Linked DNA regions of Arabidopsis thaliana. The protein of the gene in region 1 interacts with the protein of each later gene in a pairwise test. Each region holds a gene or a part of one and is shown on either strand. Other genes may lie near its edges.

Region 1 (5,158 bases):
GAATAAATCTCAAAACTTGATTCAAGAATAAACAAATCCAAGATGAAATCAAAGAATAAAAAATCGAAATCAACATTCGAATCAAACCGAAAACAAGCTTTGAGCTTCATTTTCTGAAAATTTTAGGATTCGGCAAAAAAAAAAAACCAAAAAAAAAAAATTACCCTAAACTTAAACGTACTATGAATCAAATTCCGCCATGAAACCCTAAACTCGAATGGAAAATAGAGATCCCGCAACAATTTCGTATGAAAAACTCAGCAGAAAATCTGCATCGCAAGATCTATTTTGTTATAGAATGAAAAAATTGAATCATGTGAAACCTAGAGAAGAGATCTTTTTCGAATACATGCCAGTTTTATGAAGAATCGATATGATAAATCAGAAAAAAACAAAGAGAGAATCAATCACCTGAGAATTTTCGCCGGCAAATGAATTGCAGAGTAGCTTAGACTTTTGATAAAACGTGTGGTGAACACAGACGTGCTTTGAGTTTCTATTGAGAGTTACCGGTTTAGTCGGTAAACCCGTGAAACTCTTTTTTATAAAACCGGTGATTTCCGGTTTAGTTGACTCTGTAATGTAGCACGTGGTTGTGTTCGGTGGAGAAACTGAACCACGAAGACTATTTGGTGTTGGATAATAATGGATCGCATGCCGTTTATCGTCACTAATTATCTGATCCAACGGTTGAGATTTAGTGGGGTAGCTTTTGCGGTTGTTGTTGAAGACTTGTAGTGATAAAAATGTTAAGAATATTATATGAAAATTCTAGTTTGGAATTTTGGATTAAGAATATATATAGTCTTTTTATATATTTCCCTAGTAATAAAATAGGTGCTCTTTGGGGAGGGGATACACAGATGCTCAAGTCTTGTAATTCGAATCAAAGCTTGAAGTAAAGAAGAACTCATAACTTTATGTTAAATTCTTTGGCATATTGAGATGCTTTCTTTTCTTCTCTCTAAAAGAAACTTCCTGCAGAACTCTATTCACTACTTTGGGCGTTGTAGCAATAATCTCAAGCAGCAAACACAAAATTGTTTTTCCTCTCCTGGTATTTGCCTTAATCCCGTACAGATGTCCTGCGTCAAAAGGTTTATGTCAGTAAAAGATTGTGTAAACATAAATTAGAGCAGTTTTAGACTATTTTGACTCGATTCTGTAAATGTCAACTTGTGAGTATAGCTCTATTTGATCACATACTTGAGCATACATTTGGTTTCTTTTGCACATCTCAAAGGACTACCAAAATAAGATAGAAAATCATGAAATGCAGACATATTACTTTCCCTAAGATCGAATCTAACATGACAGAGGACTCCAAGATTTTATAGTAGTTTGTGAACCGATCATTCAGCAACAGGGGGAAATTTATACCAATTAAACTCTACTAGGGATAGACACCATTACCAGTATTATAAACCTAAACCAGTTCTATGTCAAGTTGACGCCATCTTTCTCCTAGCCAAACATGCCTTTTTCATTATTCTGTTCAAAGCATTGCATTACCAAATTTGACCAGCAACTAGCAAATATAAAAGACAGCAAAGAAGCTGCAGGAAACTAGCATAAAGCATTCATGAAAACCGATGGGGTTTGACATGACATATAAGAAACATGGAAAATATGCCTCAAGAGTCTTTCCCCTAGCTGTTCTCAAACGAGACCTCTCAGCAACTAGCAACCTAATTCATAAGTAACTTATAAAACATCAGCTAAAGAATATGTTATCAGCATTTCATCAACATAATCTTTCCATATTAAATTTATAATGCTCCGTACTAAGCTTAACAAACCAATTAAAGTATGCCTTTGGGCTTTGGCATTATTCTGTTCAACCATTTCATTCCATTCTAAACTTGAGAAACATGGAAAACACAGTGGCTCAGCACACTTTTACCAACGATTAATCATAGAACCATTCATGGATCAAAAAGCAAGCCACCCCAACATCAAGAACATGAGCCAGGACTCTATAAGTAGGATAACTAGAGTTACAACTTAGAAGCTTACTCTAACTGTTTTCAAAAGATCTCCTTCTCAATTCTAGACAGTAATTTTTTTACCTATAATGTTATGCGACCTAATTCATAAGTAACCTATAAAACATCAGCATAAGAATACATTGTCAGCATTTCATCAACTCAATCTCTCCAGATTAAAAATCAACATCTTCAGTGTAACTCACACTAATGGAGATATCAACAAGCCTAGGAAGCTTATACAGCAAAGTTGTAGCAACTACAATGGAATAAGGCTCTTGTGGCATGTTTATTACCTTAATAAAGAGTATCTTTTTCAATCAAAAGACTCTAGTTTATCAATTACCTCTAGTTAATTAGCTGGAGTTTTCGAGCTCCGAAACCCTTTTTTAAGCTCAGTAACTCTCTTCATACAAGCTGCTTTCGACTTCCCAGGTACTGCAGCTGCAATCTTCTCCCATCTCATAGCTGCCTCCTTAGGAAAAGCTTTTAAAGCATTGAGCAATGCAATGTCTTCTCCATTACTCCAAATCTCCTTAGTACCTTCCGCATCTCCACCAGCTCCAGAATTCTCTTCGTTTTCATCAACCAATCTAGGATCTGAAGCTTTCCTATTCTTTAAAAACTGAGCGTAATCATCACTCTCATAGATTTTCTTCTCACCTATCTCTTTCGCCTTCTTAATCACATTCTCTGTCTTGTATCTTCCTCCGAACGCTGAAGCCACCGTCTCCCATCTCCCAGGTTTACCAGCTGGATGCTTAATCAACTGCTTCTTCAAAATCTCGATCTCTTCAGCAGTCCAATCTTTAGTTTCATTCACAGATCCACTCTCCTTAGACTGCGGAATCACCACTTTCCTCGAAACTTCAGTCACCGCAGAAGCATTTTCCGGCGGATTATCGCTCTTCGTCGAACCTTTAGATCGCTTATTCACCGATTTCCTCCTGGATTCACGTTCGTTATCCGTGGATGACTCATCGTGAATCTGTTCTGGCTCCAAGATCTGACCATAACCGACGCGAATCTTACCTCCGGTGAGCGAGCTAGGAGCGAAAGGACCGACGAGGAAAGAGAGGGAAAGCCATAATAGTAGCGATTTGGCAGGTTCAGATTCGAAGTAGAAGAAGGAGAGAGATAATATGATGAGGGAGATTGAGACGGAGATTGAAATGAAAAGCTTGTTAGGGATTCTAGCTTCTTCTTCTTCCTCCGCCGTGTGAGAAGAAGAAGGACGAGATTGGAAAACGAATCTAGGCCTGTCTTCGTCGAAAAAATCCATTGTTGCTCTGTTGCACTGTAGAAGAAGCTGAAACAATAAATAAAACTTAGAAAAAAAAATCTCAGAAATAAGTGTTTTTGGGCTTTTGAAAGTCCATATACGAAGATTTTTGGGTATTGTAAAGCCCATATATATTAAAATTTAGCATATGACAAAATTGGTTATACGAATTTTAATTAGTTAATTTTAGAGTAAGCAAACCCTTAATTAATTAAATTTTAGTGGAAAGCGTGTACACTCGAGATCGCAGATAGAGATAGTAGGACTCAGAGAAGATTGTGCCACTAATCATGCTCTTGAGCCTTTCTGTTCAACAACGAAGCAATTGCAGAGAAATCACACGTTTGTGTACGACATTTTTTTTTTTTAACGTCGATTTATTGGTTAGTTTTATATTGCAACTATATTATAAAATGAAAATATTGTTGACGGAAAAATGGAAATTTTAGGAGCCAGAAAAAAGGGAAGGAAACAATAATTCACTATTACGAAAATATATAAACTTGTACGAAAAGTCAAGGAAACCATTTATCACCTGTTACAACTTGGAATGGAAAGCGGAGAATATATTAGGCAAAGGCTAGAGAAGTTAAATAAAGGATAAAAGCTTACGGTTCAGATTGGAGATGACGGCATTTATGAAATATCGACGGTTTATCTGTGGATAATTACTGTAGGTTGAGATGCAGGAGATTCGAGCTTAGCACCAACAGACACTACCATAATAAATAGCTTAATAATATATTCCTTTTTAGCTGAGATATTATAAAGTAGGGTTTAATTTGTTATTATCACGAGAACCACACAAATACGCGGCAAAGAGAGAGAAAGATAGAGAGAGAGAGAGAGAGAGAGAGAGAAAGCGGTGGAGTCGTGATAAGGGAGAAGCTCTGGATACAGTCTCTTCCCGTCGTCGGAGACGGAGTTTATGCCTATTGGCTCCTGAGGTAAAATCGAGATCGCCTTTTTTTATTTTGTTTCTCGTGTTTTGACTGATGCGCTTTTGATTCTCTCTTCGTTTGTTTGCTTTGAGTATATTTTTATTATTGGAGTCGCGTTTCTGAGAACTTTGGATTTGAACGTATACGGATTGGTTTTTTTATTGAATTTTAGGGTTACGCTTTTTTGTGGGTTTTTTTTTTTTTTTATGTTATCGTTTCGGTTTGTGAATTTCTTCGTTCATTCAGATCTGAGATAAATTGAGTCTATGGTTGGTTGGTTTTTATGGTAAAACTTCAGCAGAGTTGAAATTAGGTACTAGAATTTTAGATATGATGATAGTTTCTCAGAGATTATGAATTGGGATCTTTCTGTACCTCTTTGCAGTTTGGTTTCTTAGGGTTTTGACCTTCGCCAGTATTGGATTTGGATTTCATTGTTAATATGCCTTTGTGTAAGACATGTTCTAGATAACATTATTTGTACGATACCTTGAATTGCCTGTTTTCGTTGCATTTCTAATGTCTTTATATACTGCTTTTGTGCTCATTATCAGGTTAGATTAAGCTTCGTATTTAGTGGATTTTCTTCTTTTGAGATATGGAACAAGATTACATCTGCTCAGGGTGCTACCAGTATCGAGTTTTTTCATTGCAAGAAGCACTCGATTGGCGGTTTCTTGTGCACTCAGATTTCCTTATCGGCTCTTTCGTGAACTGCACCTAGTGGTCAGACCTTCTGCGATCTTTACGGAAGGTGTGATGCAAATTTCTGATTCAGGTATGGGTTTCTGAATAAATCTGTTGACACTTGCATCGTAGCTTTCACAAGATACTTTGAATAGATGATATTCCTCAGTGTAAGAATTGTTATTTTGGTTTCTGACATATTTTGGTTTCTGTGTGGTAAAGGTAGAATTTATTTTCAGTATCTAAATAAGCAAATATTGGAT
Region 2 (5,381 bases), on another chromosome or scaffold:
TGATGAGTTTAATCCAGTTCTGAGACGTGAGATTGCACCTAAGGTCTTGCTCACAACATGTCGTTTCAATTCCACTGTAAGTCTTTTTTTTTTGGTACCATTGTTTCATAAGAGATTCTACAGATTTGTTTGTGGTTTTCTGATTCAAGTAATGTTGTTGGATTGCAGAGAGGACCTGCTTTAATATCTGAGTTGCTTTCGGTGATACCAAACTCTCATTATCAAAAGAGAGGAACCTATGATTTGAAGAAGGTGTTGTTATAAGTTTCATAGCTTCCTTGTTTCTCTATAAAGTTAGTCTTTTTGCAACTATATAACCTTGTTAGATATGGTTCTGCAGATTGTAGAATACGCAACGAAGAAAGATTTTACATCTCTTATTGTTGTTCATACAAATCGTAGAGAACCTGGTTAGTTTTCACTGAGTTTCAAGTTTTGTGCTCTCTACTGTATATGCTTTGTTTCAAGCTTTTGCTATTTCATATGTAGATGCGCTTCTTATCATCGGTTTGCCAAATGGTCCTACTGCTCATTTCAAATTGTCAAATCTTGTTCTAAGGAAGGATATTAAGGTATGTAAGCTAACCATTACTCTTCTCTACATCGAGTGTAGATTAGTGATCACTGAATTGGATGTTAAATGTAACTGCAGAATCACGGAAATCCTACAAGCCATCAACCAGAACTGGTTTTGAATAACTTTACAACGCGTTTAGGGAATCGTGTTGGGAGGTATAGTTTTCATAGTGTTGTTGACTTGGTTTTATGGTCTCTTTGAATTTCTTGCTGATGTTAGATTTTTCCTTTTTTCAGATTTTTTCAATCACTCTTCCCTCCGGATCCTAATTTCCGTGGTAGGAGAGTTGTAACATTCCACAACCAGCGTGACTTTATATTTTTCAGACATCACCGGTACATAACTTCACCTTTTCTTCTTCGAGTTGCTTTTGCTCCATTCTCCAATAAAACTTTTTATTGAACAAATTTCAACACTATCCAGTTACATATTTGAGACAAAGGAAAGCAAGAGTGATAAAGGAAAAGAAGAGACAATAAAACCTCGTCTTCAGGTCAGTTTTGACCATGTTGAATCAAAAAGTAATCAACATTATCAATGTTTGTATCATTAAACTTTGGATTTTTAGGAATGCGGTCCTCGATTCACGCTTAAGCTAGTTACTCTACAGCATGGAACTTTTGACACCAAAGGTGGAGAATTTGAATGGGTTCATAAGGTAAAATCACCAGAAATGGACACGAGCAGCTTCATTGCTGTTCTTTAGAGTTTTTGATGATTTTTAATTTTATTTTCTGATGTGTTTTTTTTTTGTATTTCATTACAGCCTGAAATGGACACGAGCAGGAGAAGGTTCTTCTTATAAATTCTGCTGTCTTCCGAGTTTCACCAAGTTTTGTGTTTATTTTGCATTTTCGAATTTTCCCTACCTCCGTCCAAAATTGTATGTCTTTAAAACTTCTCATTTCTTTTTTCAATATAGCCATGAGCCATCGAAACAATCGTAAGAGTACTTGTTTCAACAATATAGGCCCTCGTTTTTTACTAAGCTATATATAGTTGGTTAAACTTATGATTGTTTGGTTTGGTATATATCGACATCGAGCATTTGAATCTACAGCAGTAATATTGGATTTTGTTTAGTAGTTAAGTGGACCTTTATGTTGCATAATTAATAGTTTTACGATCATCAGTTCATCACCATAATAATAGGATTAGATTTGAGGATGTGAATGGTTACGGTGGTTGAGACGGATAAATCCGTTTGCGAATTAGACCGTTTTTGATTTACCATTTATAAATTAGAGTATGTAAGATTATAGATTAAGAAAAATAAAAGAAAATCGTCGCGGATCAATTATAGACCGTTTTTACCGCCGTAAGCATTCAAATCCTGAACATCTCTAATGATAATGTAATAGGATTGACAAAAACAAATCTAAAAATTAATTACGATTATTTAGGTGTAGTATAGAACGTAATTACGTATATGTATGTTACTATGTTGTCAATTATGTCGGCTATAATATTCCAGAAAGATCCTTCGGAAAGGAAAAAAAAAAACTGAAACTTCGGTTCGAAGTTCAAACAATTTTTCTTACTGCCACGTGTTACTTCATACACAATTAAAATATTTTTTTGTCCCTCTCATTTGTCAACGTTTAGGGGAAAAACATTAATATACTTTTACTGCATTCCGCCACAAATATCTTTCTTTCTTTTTTTATGGTTCTTCTTCACCCCAACTGTATTAGTACTGTTCGTCTTTCAGAAAAAACAATAATAGATAGAGGAAAAAAGAAAGAAACAGAGAAGTGAGAAAAAGCCCTTAAAACTCAAACACTAAAAAATTTTCAGTGTCGATTCAAAAAGTTTTGTTATTTGATCTGTTTCTGTGTAAAAAAAATGGTGAAAGATCTGGTTGGGTATAGATTTTATCCAACGGGAGAGGAATTGATAAACCATTATCTAAAGAACAAAATTTTGGGTAAGACTTGGCTCGTCGACGAAGCCATTAGCGAGATCAACATCTGTAGTTACGACCCAATTTACTTGCCTTGTAAGTTTCCTCACTTCAAAATCATCATCGTTGTCTCATCATCGGTCATTTCTAATTCTGGATTTGTTTGGTTGTTGTAGCTTTATCGAAGATAAAATCGGATGATCCTGTGTGGTACTTCTTCTGTCCAAAGGAGTATACTTCTGCGAAGAAGAAGGTAACGAAGAGGACTACAAGTTCAGGGTATTGGAAAGCTACTGGTGTTGATAGGAAAATCAAAGATAAGAGAGGTAATCGCGGCGAGATTGGGATAAAGAAGACGCTTGTGTATTATGAAGGTAGAGTTCCTAAAGGTGTTTGGACTCCTTGGGTTATGCATGAGTATCACATCACTTGTTTGCCTCAAGATCAGGTATAATAAACTCAGAGTTTCTTGAATTTGAGCTTCTGTGTTAGTTTGACTTAGCGTTATGTTTCTGTTAGTTGATCTTCTTGAATTGGATTTGGGTTTGATTCATCTGTCCCTGTGTTGGTTGCTATCTTTATCCCAATTTGAGGTTAAAGTCATGTTCTTGTAAGAATAGATTTGGGTTTGACTTATCTTTTCCCTATGATGCTTAGTACATCAAGTTTAGGTTCTGTGTATCAGAGTTTGAAGTGTTATATATAGAAGTTGTGGCCTAGAAGGCTAGTGTATTTGCTTCCCTGTGTTGAATATATTACTGTAATCTCCCCTGTGTTGGTTGCTATCATTAGTACGTTCTGTGTTGTCACAGAGTTTTAAGCGCTATGTATAGAAGTTGTAACCTAGTGTTCTTACTTCTGCCAAAGCTTGTGATTGTTTGAGTTATGTGTGTTTGATTTTTTGTTTTGTTGGCAAAGAACTTATGTGTGTGTGTACTTTTGGAATTTGTTCAGAGGAACTATGTTATCTGCCAAGTGATGTATAAGGGTGAAGATGGAGACGTCCCATCTGGTGGTAACAACTCGAGTGAGCCGAGTCAATCTTTGGTCTCTGATTCGAATACTGTCAGAGCTACGAGTCCCACAGCGCTTGAGGTGACTCCAGTTTCTTTATTTGATAATCTCATGTACTTGATTCGTTTACTCAAAACTCTCTTTTACATTTTCAGTTTGAGAAGCCAGGTCAAGAAAATTTCTTTGGTATGTCTGTGGATGATTTGGGGACTCCAAAGAATGAACAAGAAGATTTCTCTTTGTGGGATGTACTGGATCCAGACATGTTATTCAGTGACAATAACAATCCTACTGTGCATCCACAAGCTCCTCACTTAACCCCGAATGATGATGAGTTTCTCGGTGGATTGAGGCATGTTAACCGAGAGCAGGTTGAATATTTGTTTGCCAATGAAGATTTCATATCCAGACCAACCTTATCTATGACCGAGAACCGCAACGATCACAGGCCAAAGAAGGCTTTGTCAGGGATTATTGTTGATTATAGCAGTGATAGTAATAGTGATGCTGAATCGATATCTGCAACGGTAAAGCAAATCACCCGTTTTCTTTATCGTTACTTCTGTGCTGTAATCTCCATTCTCACATTTTGATTATATTATGTCAGAGTTACCAAGGAACATCAAGTCCAGGTGATGATAGTGTTGGTAGTTCGAATAGACAATTTCTCCAGACTGGTGGAGATGAGATTCTATCGTCTTGCAATGATCTACAAACCTATGGAGAACCTTCCATCAGTAGTAGCACCCGGCAATCTCAACTCACACGAAGCATCATACGACCAAAACAAGAGGTTTTGCGTTGCTCTTATGTTGATTCTATATGATTTCAACATATGTTGGATATATAAAGATAATGATTATGTAACTTTCCTTCACAGGTGAAACAAGATACATCAAGAGCGGTTGATAGTGATACATCCATAGACAAGGAGTCATCTATGGTGAAGACAGAGAAGAAGAGCTGGTTTATTACAGAGGAAGCAATGGAGAGAAACCGCAACAATCCACGGTATATCTATCTCATGAGAATGATCATAGGCTTCATTCTCTTGCTGGCTCTCATTAGCAACATCATATCGGTGTTACAAAACTTGAACCCGGCGATGAAGTTTGATCGCGAGAGATAGACAAAAGCTAGCAGATTGATCAAAGCACTCGTTTTTACTTTGCTTTTATTTATTTCTATTTTCTTCCGAAATTTTGATGTATATATGTGTGTGTATGTATGACCAAGAGGTATGTCTTGTACCTAAAGTTAAATAAAATTTAGGGTTTGAAAATTTTATAACATTTAGAGCGGGTCCATAGTTCAGTGCCGTGGTGGAGCATTAGACTGCTGATAAAGAAAACATTCGACAGAGACCAGTGAATGGTTTGAAAGGTTTCTCAAAGATTTGGTTTGTTGATAATTAAGAGAATGATTACATACCGGACAAGGGACTGGTCTAATGTGATTGATACTTCGATGATCAATCAATCAAATATTACTTCGATGATCAATCAATCAATCAATCATATTACTTACAACTATGTAATATGATTCTATGAACCTTTTTCTTGTTTTTTGTAAACTTTAATCCCTTATCTTGCAAGCCAAATCCATAGACATATATTTTACAAAATTAGTAGTAGTACTATATTGAAGTAGAGAAAGTAATAACGCCATGTCGTCGTCGTCGATGGTGGCGGCTATAATTTCCGAAAGATCCTTCGACTCAAAATACACAAAAAAAACAAGGAAAAGAGAAAGGTTCATACTTTCGTTCGAAGCTCCGACAATGAACCGTCAATAATTTGCCACGTCTTCATTCTCATTCACAATAAAAATAAATTTTGTTCCTCTCATTTGTCAACCTTTTTTGTTTTTGTTTAAAGAATTTGTCAA

Evidence for each region.
Region 2: the proteins of maMYB (region 1) and NAC069 interact in a two-hybrid assay, tested with the Arabidopsis thaliana proteins (one large-scale study listed by BioGRID).

The regions. Positions count from the first base shown.
Region 1 is NC_003076.8:18,403,331-18,408,488, forward strand, and holds maMYB (Duplicated homeodomain-like superfamily protein), read right to left. Parts: upstream 3,346-5,158; 5' UTR 3,268-3,345; coding exon 2,338-3,267; 3' UTR 2,332-2,337; intron 1,689-2,331; exon of another isoform or gene 1,086-1,688; 3' UTR 685-1,085; downstream 1-684.
Region 2 is NC_003075.7:673,267-678,647, reverse strand, and holds NAC069 (NAC domain containing protein 69), read left to right. Parts: upstream 1-2,202; 5' UTR 2,203-2,422; coding exon 2,423-2,576; exon of another isoform or gene 2,577-2,656; coding exon 2,657-2,928; intron 2,929-3,434; coding exon 3,435-3,575; intron 3,576-3,649; coding exon 3,650-4,021; intron 4,022-4,101; coding exon 4,102-4,287; intron 4,288-4,374; coding exon 4,375-4,623; 3' UTR 4,624-4,786; downstream 4,787-5,381. Other genes in the region: MEE49 (Ribosomal RNA processing Brix domain protein), read left to right, coding at 1-76, 169-252, 341-410, 490-572, 653-732, 814-912, 1,001-1,070, 1,146-1,235 and 1 more. UniProt on the Arabidopsis thaliana protein: Transcription activator activated by proteolytic cleavage through regulated intramembrane proteolysis (RIP). Involved in salt stress response during seed germination and seedling growth.